Linked DNA regions of Oreochromis niloticus. The main gene of each other region encodes a partner of the protein of the gene in region 2 in a complex. Links are inferred from orthologs where the notes say so. Each region holds a gene or a part of one and is shown on either strand. Other genes may lie near its edges.

The links. The genes of interacting proteins can lie anywhere in the genome.
Region 1: the proteins of ints11 (region 2) and wdr73 are in contact, whole or in part, in a cryo-EM structure (PDB 8R22), measured with the Homo sapiens proteins. The link is inferred for Oreochromis niloticus from reciprocal best matches to the Homo sapiens genes INTS11 and WDR73. Residues at the interface, in NP_060341.2 of Homo sapiens: Tyr206, Thr208, Thr209, Ile210, Arg211, Asp212, Ser213, Arg215, Cys216, Arg217, Glu218, Arg219, Asp220, Leu222, Lys223, Lys224, His226, Phe255, Arg258, Met259, Leu364, Val384, Glu385, Tyr386, Ser388, Lys418, Lys419, Glu421, Phe422, Gln425; in NP_116245.2 of Homo sapiens: Asp5, Asp6, Leu8, Val9, Ser11, Leu12, Tyr15, Gln16, Phe18, Tyr19, Ala20, Phe21, Asp22, Leu23, Glu50, Leu52, Arg59, Leu68, Phe69, Pro70, Glu71, Arg72, Asp73, Phe74, Lys75, Val76, Gly79, Phe81, Asp116, Ser117.

The regions. Positions count from the first base shown.
Region 1 is NC_031976.2:29,726,392-29,733,992, forward strand, and holds the start of wdr73 (integrator complex assembly factor WDR73), read right to left. Parts: upstream 3,012-7,601; 5' UTR 2,919-3,011; coding exon 2,860-2,918; intron 1,912-2,859; coding exon 1,844-1,911; intron 1,699-1,843; coding exon 1,613-1,698; intron 1,515-1,612; coding exon 1,426-1,514; intron 1-1,425. UniProt on the Homo sapiens protein: Component of a multiprotein complex required for the assembly of the RNA endonuclease module of the integrator complex. Associates with INTS9 and INTS11 in the cytoplasm, stabilizing the INTS9-INTS11 heterodimer and blocking the active site of INTS11.
Region 2 is NC_031984.2:8,378,752-8,385,827, forward strand, and holds the start of ints11 (integrator complex subunit 11), read right to left. Parts: upstream 3,016-7,076; 5' UTR 2,820-3,015; coding exon 2,792-2,819; intron 2,687-2,791; coding exon 2,589-2,686; intron 799-2,588; coding exon 725-798; intron 629-724; coding exon 400-628; intron 282-399; coding exon 183-281; intron 102-182; coding exon 67-101; intron 1-66. Other genes in the region: cptp (ceramide-1-phosphate transfer protein), read left to right, coding at 3,861-3,864, 4,034-4,163, 6,146-6,668.

The DNA of each region.
Region 1 (7,601 bases), on a different chromosome or scaffold from region 2:
AATAAACTGAACTGTAGAAAATATAAAGAGTACCTGAATAAAATAATTTCTGTGCTCTAGCCTTGCTGGGTGCTTTTCAGTATGCCTTTTTTGAAGGAGAACTCTTTTCATTCATTGCTTTGAAACCCAAGTTTGGTGCAGGAAAAGGCATCACATGGATTAGAGAACCTTGGAAAGAGTAAAGCAAGTTTCTCTCCCTGAAGTGGGTCACAACCAGTGTTTGATGAAACAAAGTAACAGTACTCCAATTACTGCTGATTTTTCAGTTTAAATAAGCAGGTAAGTACTTTTCAAAGAAGTAATCAACAACTGTTAAAATGTTACATTTTCCTGCTCCTGAATAAAACCCTGAAGCATCTGCAAAGTTTCTGTCTCTCCCCGATTTCTTGGGATACAGCCGTGGGCTTAGGAAATGTTGTATTTATTATTGTTAAGGAGTTAATTTTCTCAGCAGATAAGGCTGTAATCTAACAGATTACTTTATAATGGAAGTAAATTGTAGACTGTAGTCAACTGAGTTGTTTCCTTAACCGCCAAATTATATAGTTGTTAAAAGTGGATAATTCTACCTATGGTAGCTGCTGTAGAACAGACATGTTTTAGTCAGCCAAGAGAGATCAAAAACATTGGATACAGACTGTACGCCATGTTTGGACTGGCTCTGCCGAAGAGTTTTTGCCTCTGTTAGGAAGGCTGTCAGTCCACTGTTTACCTCAGCTGTCAATGCTGGGTGATAAACATCCACCAGTTAAAAGTTTTACAGTCTCCTCCAGAGGAAATAGATGTGGATGCTTCTTAGTCCAGTACAGCCCAATAAGTCAGAGAAGCTCACTTCTGATTGATGACAGCAATACTGAGGTGAGTTATTAAGGATATACTTAACTGTTGGTTGCACTGCTGTTTTTCCCACTGTTAGCCAGTATTAGATGCACTTCAAAGACATTTTCAATAATATTAACTTATAACCAGCTGTTGTTGTGTTAAAGCCCTGACTTCAGATCGGGTGATGAGGCTTGAGGTGAGGAGGAAGAGGATGATTGATTTAATTAAGATGCCAGTTGTGTTGTCTCTTTCCTTCCCGTTTTCATTTCTTTTGTCAAGTTGACCTTTTCTAAGGTGATCAAACATATCTTGAGTATGAAGTTGCAGGTACGAATTTCAATGTCGCTCCACTGCACCGTAGGAATGCCCATGACTTCTCTTCTCCTCTGCCTTTGTCACATGCATAAAACAGTTTTAGTCAGAAGTGAAGTCCTTAGCAGCTGGTAATACAAATACAGGGGAGGAACGTGGCGGTCTCCACAAGCTGCAAAATACTCCTGTTGGAAGTTGTTTCTATTAAATAACCTCAAAAATGACTGGCCTTACCTTTAATGTAACACGTTACTTATAAGGGTAATTTATCCAGCACTGGTCTGAACTCACCTTGTTCCAGGGATGTGTATGAGGCAGCGAACCGGGCCATCTGTGAAACCACCATGGGAAACTTTAAAATCCCGCTCTGCGCAGAGACTCTGAACACAACAGCAAACAGGAAAAGTTCAGAGTAACATCTGAATCGCCTCCTAGAGAAAAATAAATTCAAAGTTTGGACTAATGTCCTGATTTTTACCTTATTTTCATCAGCGAGAAGTTTCAGCGGCAAGCGAAGTTCTAAAATTTCATTTTTGGACTGACTATAGCCTGCGACACAGACCGCTACAAACACACCAAAAAACACTGATTAATACAAATTATTTGGCTGATAAATAAAAGAGCTGAAAAGCTGTCTTCTATAACAGCAAAATCAGAACCATGTTTTTCAACCCACATCATCATATTTTAAAATATTAGATCAACTTACTCTTCCCTGACGTCCACTCGAGGACCTGGGTGGGATGTTCAAGCTGATACACATGAAGGTCTTTGTACCTAAAGGAAAATAAAATTTCTGTATAGTTTATCATAAAACACAGTGAAACTCAATTTTGACAGAACTTATATATGGCTGAGCGCTACAGTCAAAAATGAAGGTGAGCCCACTTTATGTTTGTTGTAGTGACTCTATAAGATTAAAAAAGTATATTGAGTTAAAAAGGTTTTTTTTAAAGGAATTCAGAAAAATATAAATTCACTCTGCCTTATGCAAACCTTTCAAAAATAGCCCTACAGCTGCATTCCTGATGTTTATTTCAAGTTGTTTGGTGTCTCCTTGCAAATTGTCCATTTTATTGTGCACCTTCTTCTTTGTATGTAGTGCTGTTTGGTATTTATTCCTGTTGTCTAACTATTTAGATTTCCTGCACTGCCTCTGTGGAGCACCCAGCATGTCGTTGAACATGTACAATGACAATAAAGGGATACACTATCCCATTGTTTCAAATGCCTTTTAACCGCGACACCAGACTCCATTCACAATTTATGATATTTAATATTTTCTGTCTACAAAATCAACGCGACCATTTTTCTTTTTACCTACAACTTGATTCCTACAGTCGAGAGACCATATCATATAATTCGTCTTGATTATGAAACTCGAATTCACTAAATTTATTTTGAAAATGAATCTATTCACACATATAACACATCTTAAACCACGAATAATAAGCTAAGTGTAGGAGATAAACTAATACAAGGTGACAATTTGGAGCTTATTTAAATTTTAGATGAGATATCCGTAAGCCGAATTTAAATAAATTAAATATAAAAATAAGTACATATAAATAACGTTTTGTTGCGGTGTTTATTAACAATCTAAAGCTGCTGGAGGATAAAATGCCTTAAAGTTAGAGTTTGCTTTGCAAAACTGGTAATGTTAGTTAGCAAGTAGTAATAAAAATATAAACTTGACGGTTCTAACAAAGTAAAAAGTTTACTCACGTTTTCAGTGACTCGATAAACCAGTCATCTAAAATATCATCAAACTCTGCATCTTCCATCTCTCCCAACAGCTCCTGCAGGCATGGGTGCTGTTGCTCATCCACCACTTCCTGTTTATTTCCCTCTGCTTTTTATTCTACTGCTTCTTGGCTTCATGAAAACTACACCGCCACCTGCTGGTCTGGAGGAAGCGAGCCTCAATCTAAAATCACATATAGGGATTTAAGTTTAGATAGAAACAAAAATAACAGCAGGGTCTGTTCTAGCTTAATCAATGCAAGAAGCAGATAATCAAGTACAGAGGCCCGTGCAGCTGACTAGTAGCCTAAAGGTTGCTGGTTTGAGTCCCTGTTCAGATGCTGGCATGGACTCCATATGAGCTGTTTTTGTATACGACCCCCTGACAAAAATAAGCAATAAACAAATATCTGAATGAGCTGATATTCAAAAGCACTAATTTGCTTGATTCCATATGCAGCTTTCTACAGCCTGAAGAACACAAGTCACTGCAAGATGATTTGCAAATTTATTCTCTTGGTAACCCTGGCATAGCTAACACAGCACAGCCTCTTTAACTTTTAATTTGATATTTTAGGCCAACACAGCCAGAGGCGGCCTAAAATATCAAGACTCTCATTAGTGGTTTCAAGCTTTACAGCAGATGGTATCTACATACATACAATTAAAAGATAAAACAGCATACAGGAATAAATTCGAATCACATGATATTCGCTTGTTAAACTGATTCAATAGAAAATAGTAATTTTAGATATTTGACGATGAACTTACAGTAAGTTCTGAATTTTGCATCCCAGCATGAGGACGTAGCTCTGAGACTGCTTTTTAGTCTCAAATCACTTGTATTTATATAGTGCCAGTTCACAGCAAGGTGGCTGACGTTGTGAGGTAAAGACCCTACAGTGTTAGTGAGAAAACCACAACAATCGATCTCCCACGGGTAAGCACTTGGAGGAACCAGGTTCTGTGTGGGGCGGCAAAAGAAGAGAGAAGAAGGTGAGCATAGAGAGATGAGGTTAAAACGGGACGGCGCGATCATGAGGTTGGTGGTTTGATTCCCAGCTCATGCAGTCTGCGTGTTGAAGCATCCTTGAGGAGCTTAAAGCTGCAGAATAAAGTGCTGTGGGGATGAGCTGATGCAGCTTGCAGTAAAAAGTTCTTTGCTTAAGTAATAAAGGGGTGAATATATATCAGCCTATTTTCCATTTATTAACACAACTCAAAGTCTCCAGCATAACTAGAAGGATTTCGAGCCACCGGTCTAATGCGCGTACAGTTGTTCAGTTTCATGTACACGGTGCCAGTTCACAACAGTCATCTCAAGGAGGCCCAAACGAGTGTTTGAAGACAAACGCAGTGGAAGGCCGTGCTTAATATTACGGCACTCTGACAGCACATTTATGGTTTGCTGCCTTCAGATGGCCACAGAGGCTTAATGAACTGAAGACGCAGCATTTTTTTCCAAACAGTACAAAGCAGCTGTCATCAACAGACGCCCTGTTGTAGCTGCCTTCATTATAAAATACCACACAGATGAGTGAATTGGAAGTCATAAAAATGCCAACAGTGCGTAACAAGGAAGCACAGGAAATTACCAAGAGTCTCAGAAGAATATTTTCAAGACAACTTTTGGGATGTTTACCCTCCTCCAGCCTTTAAGCTGTGCTTCCGGTTGTCTCTATCAGTCTAACGAATGCAAAATAGTTGAGAGCGATTAACAGATTTTGAATTTTGTAAATAAAGCATGGTGTACTTGGGGAATATTTCCCCCTTTAGCAGAGCAACAGAGTAAAAGTTTATTTTGATAATGTGATTAAATGAAGCTGCCAGAAGGAAAACAAACCAAAAACAGATGTTATGTTTGGGATGCTGGGCGTTTCTAGTTAAATGATAAAATATTCAAGCCATGAGTGCAGCTTATATTTGTCCTCAATTTTCTCCAGGACAACAGCTGAAACCTCATCAATCCCACCATGCTCAAAGCTTCATCTCTCCGGCTGTTGTTTGCCGCTTTCTTCTCCTCCTCCTCCTCCTCAGCAGCAGTCCTGTCGTTCTGTTCCTCCGACTGTCTCACAGCAGACAATCTGAGTCACATTTCAACCTTCCATTTCTCCTGTTACTCCTTCAGAAACAAGTGAGTCCAAATCAGAGTCTGTACAGGACAGTGAAGACGTGCGTGCCTGCGTACAGGGCTGCAGGAACTGTTTGCTCTAACAAAATAATCAGTGACAGTTATTTCAAAGATTTGAGGTTATCATGTCTGAATCCTCATTTAGTAAGACACTAAAATATTGGTCTGTCAGTGCTTTAGATACGATAAAATGATGCTGCTGACAGATAGCAAGGAAAGACAGAGCTGGCAGTGCATTAAAGTTGAAGAGGTGAGGGTGAAGAAGATGAAGCTGGGAGAATGGAGAAAGGAAAAGGAAGAGGAACCCCCTGTTCAGCCTGAGCTGAATCAGCAGCTTTCACTTTCCTGTAGACATCACATGCTTTTCTTTCAAATCCAGTTGCCACTCTTCCCTTTCTCCCCCTGCCCCTTTTGTCTTCTTTGCCTCTTTTTCTTGCTTTTTCAGCTGTTTCTTTTCTTCTTTTACTGCTTACTTTGACTTTTGTCAGTTGTTTCTTGTCCTTCTTCCATTCTTTCTTCTTTCTCTTTCTCAGCTGCTTTCCTTTAGGTTATTTCTTTTCGTGACTTTCTTTATCCAGGCCATGTTTCTTATAGTTTCTATGCAAGCATTTCTTTTCTTTTCTCTTTCTGTCACCCCCACTCAGGCTCTTCTGTGGCATCCTGGATTTCGCCTGATCAAGGTTTTGTCTCTTTTGAACATTTACAATAAGCCCATGTGTCCAGGTCCAGTATTTCACTGCCGCCTTTTTACCTCTTCCTGGCAATCGCTAAATGGATTATCAGCCTCTGAACTGGCCCTCCTGCTGGTTGTCCAGCAACTTTTTCCTTTCCATCCACCTCAAGCAATGTGGTCAGCATCACACTCCTCTTTGTACAATGATAACATCTTGCTTTTTTTCTGTTTTCAGTTCATACTCACACAGGCTGCTGCACATTGTGAACTTTCTGGCCAACATCTCTTTGATGCGCTGCATGGCTTCTTTTCTTCCCTCTTTTAATTGGCAATTTTCAGCCTGAGTGGCTTTAAAGGCTTTTTGCACCTCCCTGTTGATATTTTGTGGAGCAGTACTCAAGAATCCTCCTTTGCATATCCAATTGTTTATTTAGAAGAAAGGCACTCAAGCCTCCTGGAGATGGTGTAGGTGGTGTAAATTCTGACTCCAGGAATCATTAAAAGGGCATCTGATAAAATGTATTGATTGGACAGTGGGAAGCTGCGGGAAACAAATTTAAAATCTGGGGTGTATATCTGACGTCACCTGTTAAAATTCTTTTCATTTTTTAAGCTTCTAAATTTTACTCAGCAGCAGCGACTGAACACTGAGTTTCATGAGTCAGTAAAACAGTCACACATCGCTAAACACATTTAACATATTACAAAACCAGCAGCCACATGCTTTCAACAAAGAGCAGCCTGTTTCACATTAGCTGTCACTGCTGAGTCTATCACACCACAGAGATGTGAATGGCCTCTGTCCCAAAGCTGTTGTTTCACACTCGCAGCAGGAGAGCCTGGGTTTTCCTCAGATACGATAATTGTTGGACTATCTATCAGACGAGCCGGATAACTGCCTCCGGCTGAGCGTCAAAAGGATCCCAGCAGGTCCTAATGCTTTCTGCCAATAAGCAAAGACAATAAACAGTGTGCAGAATTTCTTCACAGTCTGTGATGTGAGGAAGACTGCTTTACCAACATTGGTTCACAAACAAAGAGGTTTGGCAATACTCAGTGACAGCGTACAAGAAAGCATTACACAAATAAATAACTATTTATTTACTTCTGTGATATTGATTTAAGTCCTTATTTGATTAAATATTTTGAATGAGAAGAGGGGCATTTTTAGTTTCCAGCCAACTCTGTCCCAGATGGTATTCTGTATTTGATGCCATCTTACATGCAGTGATTCCTTAGTTTATGGGGGATTTGCTCCATTTTCCTTCCTGCTTGTGAAGAACTCTTCCAGCTTGTTGAGCTTTTTGAGTCTGCTGGAGGTGGGATCCACATAAGAACTGTGAAATACTCCAAAATAAAAGTGACCTCCTTTCTGATACTTTCTAGAGGCCTTTGTAAAACCATGAAGGACTCTGTTGCAGGTATCTCAATCCTGTCTTATTGCTCTTGTTTGCAAGTCAAGTGCTTGATGGCTTGAGGTTGGCTCCAAAAGTGAGTCGAGCCCAAGTTAACAGCATTAAAAACCATGTTTACAGCCAGGTATCTATGGTTAGTTTCTCCCCTCACTGCAACTATTTAGTTGTAGTTTCTTTGGTTAAATCCATCCATCTGGACACTATTAAGGCTTACACATAAGTGTGTGGCTTTGTTGACTGACAGGTATACCAGCATAGAGAGCTGTGTGTTACATATCACCTTGGACCTCTTCAGCAGTTTTTTTTAAAGGAAAAATCTGACCAACCAAATCCTCTTGGTCCATTACTTCAATTTTGATTTGTGTTGTTTTTCGATTTGGCCTTAGCTGATAACTTTGCACTTATTTCTGGTGGCAGCCAAAACACTAACGCTGAGGCTTCAAAATTTAGAGCCCCAAACTAATGTGTTAAGACACCTTGAGGGCCCAGAAACACTGCAATTTCA
Region 2 (7,076 bases):
CTTTCTGCTGAATGTGTTGACATAAAGACCAGAAGATTATCAAGAAATGCAGTAAAGTTCACTTACCCTAAATGCCTGTCCGGTGTCATGTTATAGTCACCCTAAAATAAAAAGAAATTATTCTCAGATTGCAGTTGATAAATTCACCTACTGTGACAGAGCGCAGACTTGTTTACACTTACGGTGTAGACCACAGACTCTGATCCCACTTTGATGTGAACCATAGCAGCTCCCAGGACATGGCCTGCATAGTACGCCTTGATCTCCAGCTCATCATCCACCTGCCACCAGCACAAAACAAACAGCTTGAATTGCCATCAAAAGAGAAGCAGCAGCTGGCGCAGAAGCAACTATTAGATGTGTGTGCGTGTGTGGTCAAAAATGATGTCAGCACTGCACCTGGACAGTCTGGTGCAGGTTCAAAGGAATCACTTTCTTCATGCAGTCCTTGATCATCTGCGAGGTGAAGAAGTTGGTTTCTCCTTTTTTGTCAACGGTGATCTTCCGGAAATCTTCCAGTAAAATGGGACAAATGGCTTTGGTGGGATGGGTCATGTAGATGGGTCCATCATAGCCCACCATCTCACTCATGTAGGGCAGAGCACCGCAGTGGTCCAAGTGGAAATGGCTGAAAAACGTAGAAAGGTGTACTATGTTACACACAAGGTTGAGATGATTTAAAAAAAGGTGCAATATAAAGAAGATAACAAATATGACAACAAACCTGATGATCACACAGTCTAAGAAATCTGTCAGACGCCCATTCTGTGTTATATAAGAAAAGTCTGGGAAACGTCTCTGCAATGATAAAACAATCTGTTATAGGACTGTTACTAAATGGAAATCTTCTTCTTTCAAAGGTAGAAACAGTGCATTCAAAAGGAGAGTCTCTTTTCTAGAAGAACTGTTTCATAATAGCTGTTTTTAAAATGCATTCCAAGTCAGAATGTACACAAATACCAGCAGTTTGCATAGAGAAGCCCAGCCCACCTCACCCACCTCCGCCAGCTTGGTCACACCTTTACTGCCAATGTAATCACTGAATAACAGAGTCCCACCCCACTCAGTGTCTGGGTATTCTGAACTGTCAGTTAGTGCGCAGACACAAACGATAGTCAATGCGCGTTTCCTGACTCAAAGGCGCAAAGAAGCAACCCTCTCATCCATTGGAGAAAACCTCAACGTACAAGTAGGGAACACAAGCTGTCTGCTCTCACCTACTGTAGGGCAACTCAAGAGGTTCCATTGCCTGAGCTACTCGCTGAGGTGAGTCCAACTATATCAAATTTGAATCTCTCATCCTCACACACCAACTCAGGCTCCTTCTCCACCCAAAAAGTGATGTTCCATATACCACAAGCTAGTTTTTGAAACCAGGGATCGTCAGACTTCAGACCACCGTCTGATCCACCAACCCCCACTTTGTCCTTTTATTGCAATAAATTTGATGGTAAGGATCAAAGACAGTCCAAGACAGTAACAACTGTGTGATACTGCTAACACACCATCGGTTCTTCAAAAACATCCCGCAGACAGCAGGCTAACACAAAAAAAGTGAAGAACCCAAAGTTATGTTCAAGCTGAGTGTATGCAGACCCAGGCCCAGCAGGTAGAGCCTGATCTTCAACATGTAACGAAAGCATTGATGAGCAGTCAGACTCTTCTCTCTATCTTCTTAAGTAGAATCACTGTGGTTACCCCTTTTAAGACTCTTTGGGCTGATTTTCAATTTTACTTTGTGTTATTGTTGGTTTTAAATAAGAAATATCATTAGTGTCCTCATTAGGATAGGTATTTGTGTCAGTGTGTGGGACTGTAGTCATGGGTTTATATTAAATGATAATTATGTGACACTGTATTTCAGGTCAAGTTACACAGGAATGTGAAAGTGATGTTAGTAGTAGCAGTGTAATGAATTAACTTCTCCGATGAGTAATTTAGAAATATACTGCATTCATTTTACAAAAAGTAAACAGTAATGTGTACCACATTACTTTTCTGAGTAACAACTCCAAAACTGCATACAGATATCTGCTGGCTCCCCAAAAGCCCCAAAACATTTGCCAAAACCTGTATAGCACACATCAGCAAAATAGAAGGGTTGGAAATTGCGCTTCAGCCCTCAATGTGGTTAAGGAAAACTATATATGTTAACAAACAAAAAAAACCCCCAAACACTCCAACATGTCCAAACCATCTCAGCCTTAGCTCTTCAAATCACTCAACATGAAATGTCTCTCAGACGTACTCATTTCTAATCCTATTGAAAATCTTAACTTCTTCAGACCTGCCTCCTGTCTTTTTGTCAGCAGATCTCACTACAGTCTTGTAAACCTTCCCAGTGTAAAGCAGCCTAGGTAGTCTTAACTTTTGCTGTCATGTTTGAAACACTTCTGTTTCACTTTAGAGTCTTTAATTTTGCCCAAGACTCATGTAGGGCTTTGATTTGGGATTCTTGTCAGTATGCTATGTGCAGGTTGTTTATAACTACTAATAAGATAAAGGAAACCAATAAGGGTAAAAAATGCCATAGTGTTTAAATTACATGACTGTAATGTTTGCTATAACAAATGCACTATGTCACTCACATCATCGTTGTAGCCCATGTGCATCCCACAGTCCAGCATTATATTTTTGCCTCCGATGGAGACGAGGATGCAGCTCCTGCCCACATCCTGTCCAGCACCTTGGAAGGGCAGAACAGAAGATAAAAATTCAGAATTACACTCCTTTAGTAATGGTAATAAACACAACAGTGCGCAGCAGCTAGCTAGCTAGCTTCGGTACTCACCGAGTGGCGTTACTTTTATTTCAGGCATGCTTTTTCATTGGGCAGCCTTTTTTTTATATACACAGGTAAATGACACCAAGGTGACCTAAACGTCCAGGATGTGTCAGCTGAATAACTTCTGAAATATATGGGAACGTTTATTGTGTGTAGCTTTAAAACATGCAGCTAATTTCATGCACCGACTTTATTTTTTTATCAGCGTCGGGCTAACAGGAAGGACTTCCGTCCAGTGCTTTCACAATAATACACCCCTTGCTATGAAAGCCTGTAGAAAACAGGTGGAAAGCACCTGGGTAATGTTTTGAAGACTATTTCCATATGTCATTTTGATAATCTATACTTCCTTTCAAGCAAACCTTGAAAACAAATTCAAGTGTCTATATTTCTTGTAAGAAACACTATGTCTTCCACTTTTAATTATACTGAACTGATAGATGTGTGAATAGATTTTCAGCATAAGGAGTATGAGCCCTCTAAAAATGAGTAACCAAGAAAAAGTGGCATCACGTAGTCTGGATAGCATTAAGAATAAAAGGGAAGGTTTACAAGATGCTAATAAGACCTGCTATGGTTTGGAAACTGAAACGGTGTCACGGGATAACTGGCCAAAGTGATATTTAAAGTCCTCTCATCCTGCCCAGCTGCTTCTTACTCTTTGCTTACTTATTATTGCTTCACTGCCTACACACCAGTTACCATTTCAAGTGACATTTCAGGTAGCAGTTCACCTGTCTGGAGCTCTTTTTTTTTAACCTAATTTCAGCACTGCCTGCAGGGATTTCAGGTGCATTCATTTATAAAAGTTCATTTCTGGCATACAAAGGCTATGTTGTTTGTCACTTTTTATTTTTCACACATCAGTGACGTTTATGCAACAAAAATATTTGTTTAGGTGCGGGGGGATCAGTGTTTGGGTTATAATAACTTCTTTCAATAAGTCCAAGAAGCAATTAAGGTAAAAATTTCCCTCGCTTTTATTTTGAAGACAAAGTCGCCAATTTAGAGCCTGCGCAGTAGAACCGGATAAGAACAGACAGGATCTGTCACTTCACGTTGTCGAGAAAAAGAAATGCGTAATTTTTCTTTCAATTTTAACTTTTCTTGTAGGTGACGAGTTCACTTCTTGATCGTTTACCACAGGGCTTACATTTTTACCCAGTTCCGGTTTGTTTGTAGCCCCGAAATACATTTTTTTCATTCATTTTTTACGTGCCTGTTTGTGTCATTTGCACTTCCTGGTAGAAACCATGGCAGGCTCAGAAGACCAGAAGTTCTCCCTCCAGGAGGTCCTAGACACTTTTAAGTTGTGTCTGTCGGAAAATAAAGAAGTCTATCTAGAACAGTACGTCGCTGGATGGCGTGGGCTTGTAAAGTAAGTGATCAGTGTAGAAGTAAACTAAGGCGAGCAGATCACAGCAAGGTAAATGTAGGACAGAGTGTTTACTGTGAGCTAAGATCAAGTCTTGAGATTTATATCTGATCTAGCTGACTCTTCTTCTTTAAAAAAAAAATCTCTCTCTCTCTATCTATCTATCTATCTATCTATCTATCTATCTATCTATCTATCTATCTATCTATCTATCTATCTATCTCTCTCTCTCTCTCTCTCTCTCTCTCTCTCTCTCTCTCTCTCTCTCTCTATATATATATATATATATATATATATATATATATATATATATATATATATATATATACATACATGTTAAGTTTCATATGTTTAATGAATAAATAAAAGTGTCACCTTCATGGCATGAAAACTTTCCAGGTTACAGACCCTCAAAGAACATAGGGGTGGGCTAAAATTTGCTGCTTTTTAATTAATTATTTTATGAGTCCTTACAGCTTCATTATTGCAGGAGATGTCCACAGGTTTGAAAAACACATTAAAGCTCTTTTCAAAATCAATTGTATAACCTGAAATCAAATCCCCCTTTTGTTCAATTCTGTTTTCTGCATCCAACTTTGTGCCTCAGTATCATGTCTCCTTTCCCTCAGCCCCAACTGCTTGCACCAGATGGCTGCCCCTGACTGAGCCTGGTTCTCCCTTTTAACAGGTTTCTTCCTGTTAAAAGGAAATGTTCTTTCCCACTGTTGCCAAAATGCTTGTTAATAGGGGGTTGTCTGATTGTTGGGGTTTCTCTGTATTATTGTAGGGTTATTGTGCCTTATAGTGTTAAGCACTTTAAGGTGACTTTTGTGATTTTTAAATAAATAAAATTGGATTGTATTGAAAGTTATATTGTAGTTTCAATTGCAAAACTACAGCAGTCGAATGTCTGTGAAACAAGGGTCATATCACAGGCTGGGATAGGTGGCTGATCAAAACATATGAAAGGGTCTACTTTACCGACAGACTGATCCCAGGATCATATTCCTGGTATTAGTGTACCTTCTTGGCTAGGTCTCTGTGGAAAAAGAGATTTTATTCTCAGTGGACTTTCTGGTTTTAAAAAAAATCAATAAAATGTGATGACAGAAGCAGGCCGACAATACAAAGTATTTGCAAAACTGGTAATGCTAGCATGAGCGTTCCTTTTTAAAGCTCCATGTTTTTCTTATATAAGAGCAATTAAAGGATTCAATAGAAAAAAGAAACGAATACCAGAGCTGTATAGTGAGGGTTTTGTTGCATTCAAAAGGCAAACAAACAGTTTTGTTTATCAAAGGGTCAAAATATCCATAAAATTCATTTAATATTGTTTAATTAAGGTAACACAAACTCATTGCCTTTACTTTACATCAATCGATTGTGCTTGCGTGCCCTGCCAGGCCCTTTTGAAGGCCCACTCTGAACCACAAAAATCCTGAATGTCACACAGCAACAAACGGTGTGACTTTCAGGGCTGTTTGATTATAAGGTTTAGTTAGTTAGTTAGGTTCACTGAAATACAACTAACTTAAAATTCAACTGACTAAACACACAACAGCTTGACAGAGGGTATTGTTTGGACTCTCTTCAATTTTAGGAGCAAAAAATAAAAGTAAAGGAATCAAAGGCAACACGATAGCATTACGAAACAGGCTGAGGCACAATAATAACTGCATCTTGATAATATTTTAGAAATGACTGGAATTTGTAATTATAATTGAAATTCAAATTGCAGCAGCTTTCATAAATGTTGCATTTTTATTGTGAAAAGTATGTGAAATATTTTGCAGCAGGAACAGCATAAAAGGGAAAGAGTTGAGCTTCAGCTCTGGTCTGTGAGTGAATTCTTGGAATTTCTCATGTGAACTGAACTGATTATAATTTGCAGACATTTAGAATTTACTGATTATACTCTCAGCTGTAATAGTAGACCAAAAGGACACCCAGGTGTTAACTGAGTGTGTTTTTACTCCTTGTAATAGGTTTCTGAACAGCTTGGGAAGTGTCTTTGGCTTCATTTCTAAGGATGCTGTCGGCAAGATCCAGATCCTTGTGAGTTATATGAAGGGTGAGAACGCTTCTCACTATGCTACTGTGCAGTCGATGGTAAAATACGAACTGGACAATAATCTCGTGGATGTGAACAAGAAAGGAAGCCACCCAGAGTCTGGCTGTCGTACTCTGCTGAGGCTCCACCGCGCTCTGAGGTGGCTGGAGCTCTTCCTGGATCGCCTGCGCACCAGCACAGAAGACAGTAAAACATCTGCCCTGTGTGCAGAGGCCTACAACGAGTCCCTTGCCCAGCACCATCCGTGGATGATCCGTAAGGCTGCGGGCATGGCGTTCCTCGTGCTTCCTGGTCGCCAAACCTTTTTCGAAGTAATGAATGTTGGCCCGCCTGAGCAAGTTGTGGCCAAGCTGGGGGAGGCCCTACCTCTCATCTCTGAGGTGTACCAGATCACAGAGGACCTATATGCTCAACATAACCTGCTTGATTTACCTTAGAAGCAAGAAGTGCTAATATCTGACGGCTCATACTTTATATAATTAAATATTTGTAACTTGTCCTTGGTGAAAGGCTGCTGAACAAGATGCTTCTGCTGCTTGGATTGTGTCATAACTAGCTGTAATACCACTAAGATTAATTTTGAAACTACTGTATACATGTTTTAACATAAGATTGTGTACATTTTCCTCCACGTAATGGACCTTTGAATGTATTTTTATTAACTAATCTTTTGCTTTTAAATCAACAGTTCCCAGTCTAGGGCCAGAGATCATTTACAGTATATTAATTAATATTAATATATTGTTTGAAGATTTTACATTTTTAGACAGGTAGAAATATATAATTTAAAAAGCTGCACCTTTTAAACTTTTGACCATCCACCCATCAATCTTTCTGAATAAATG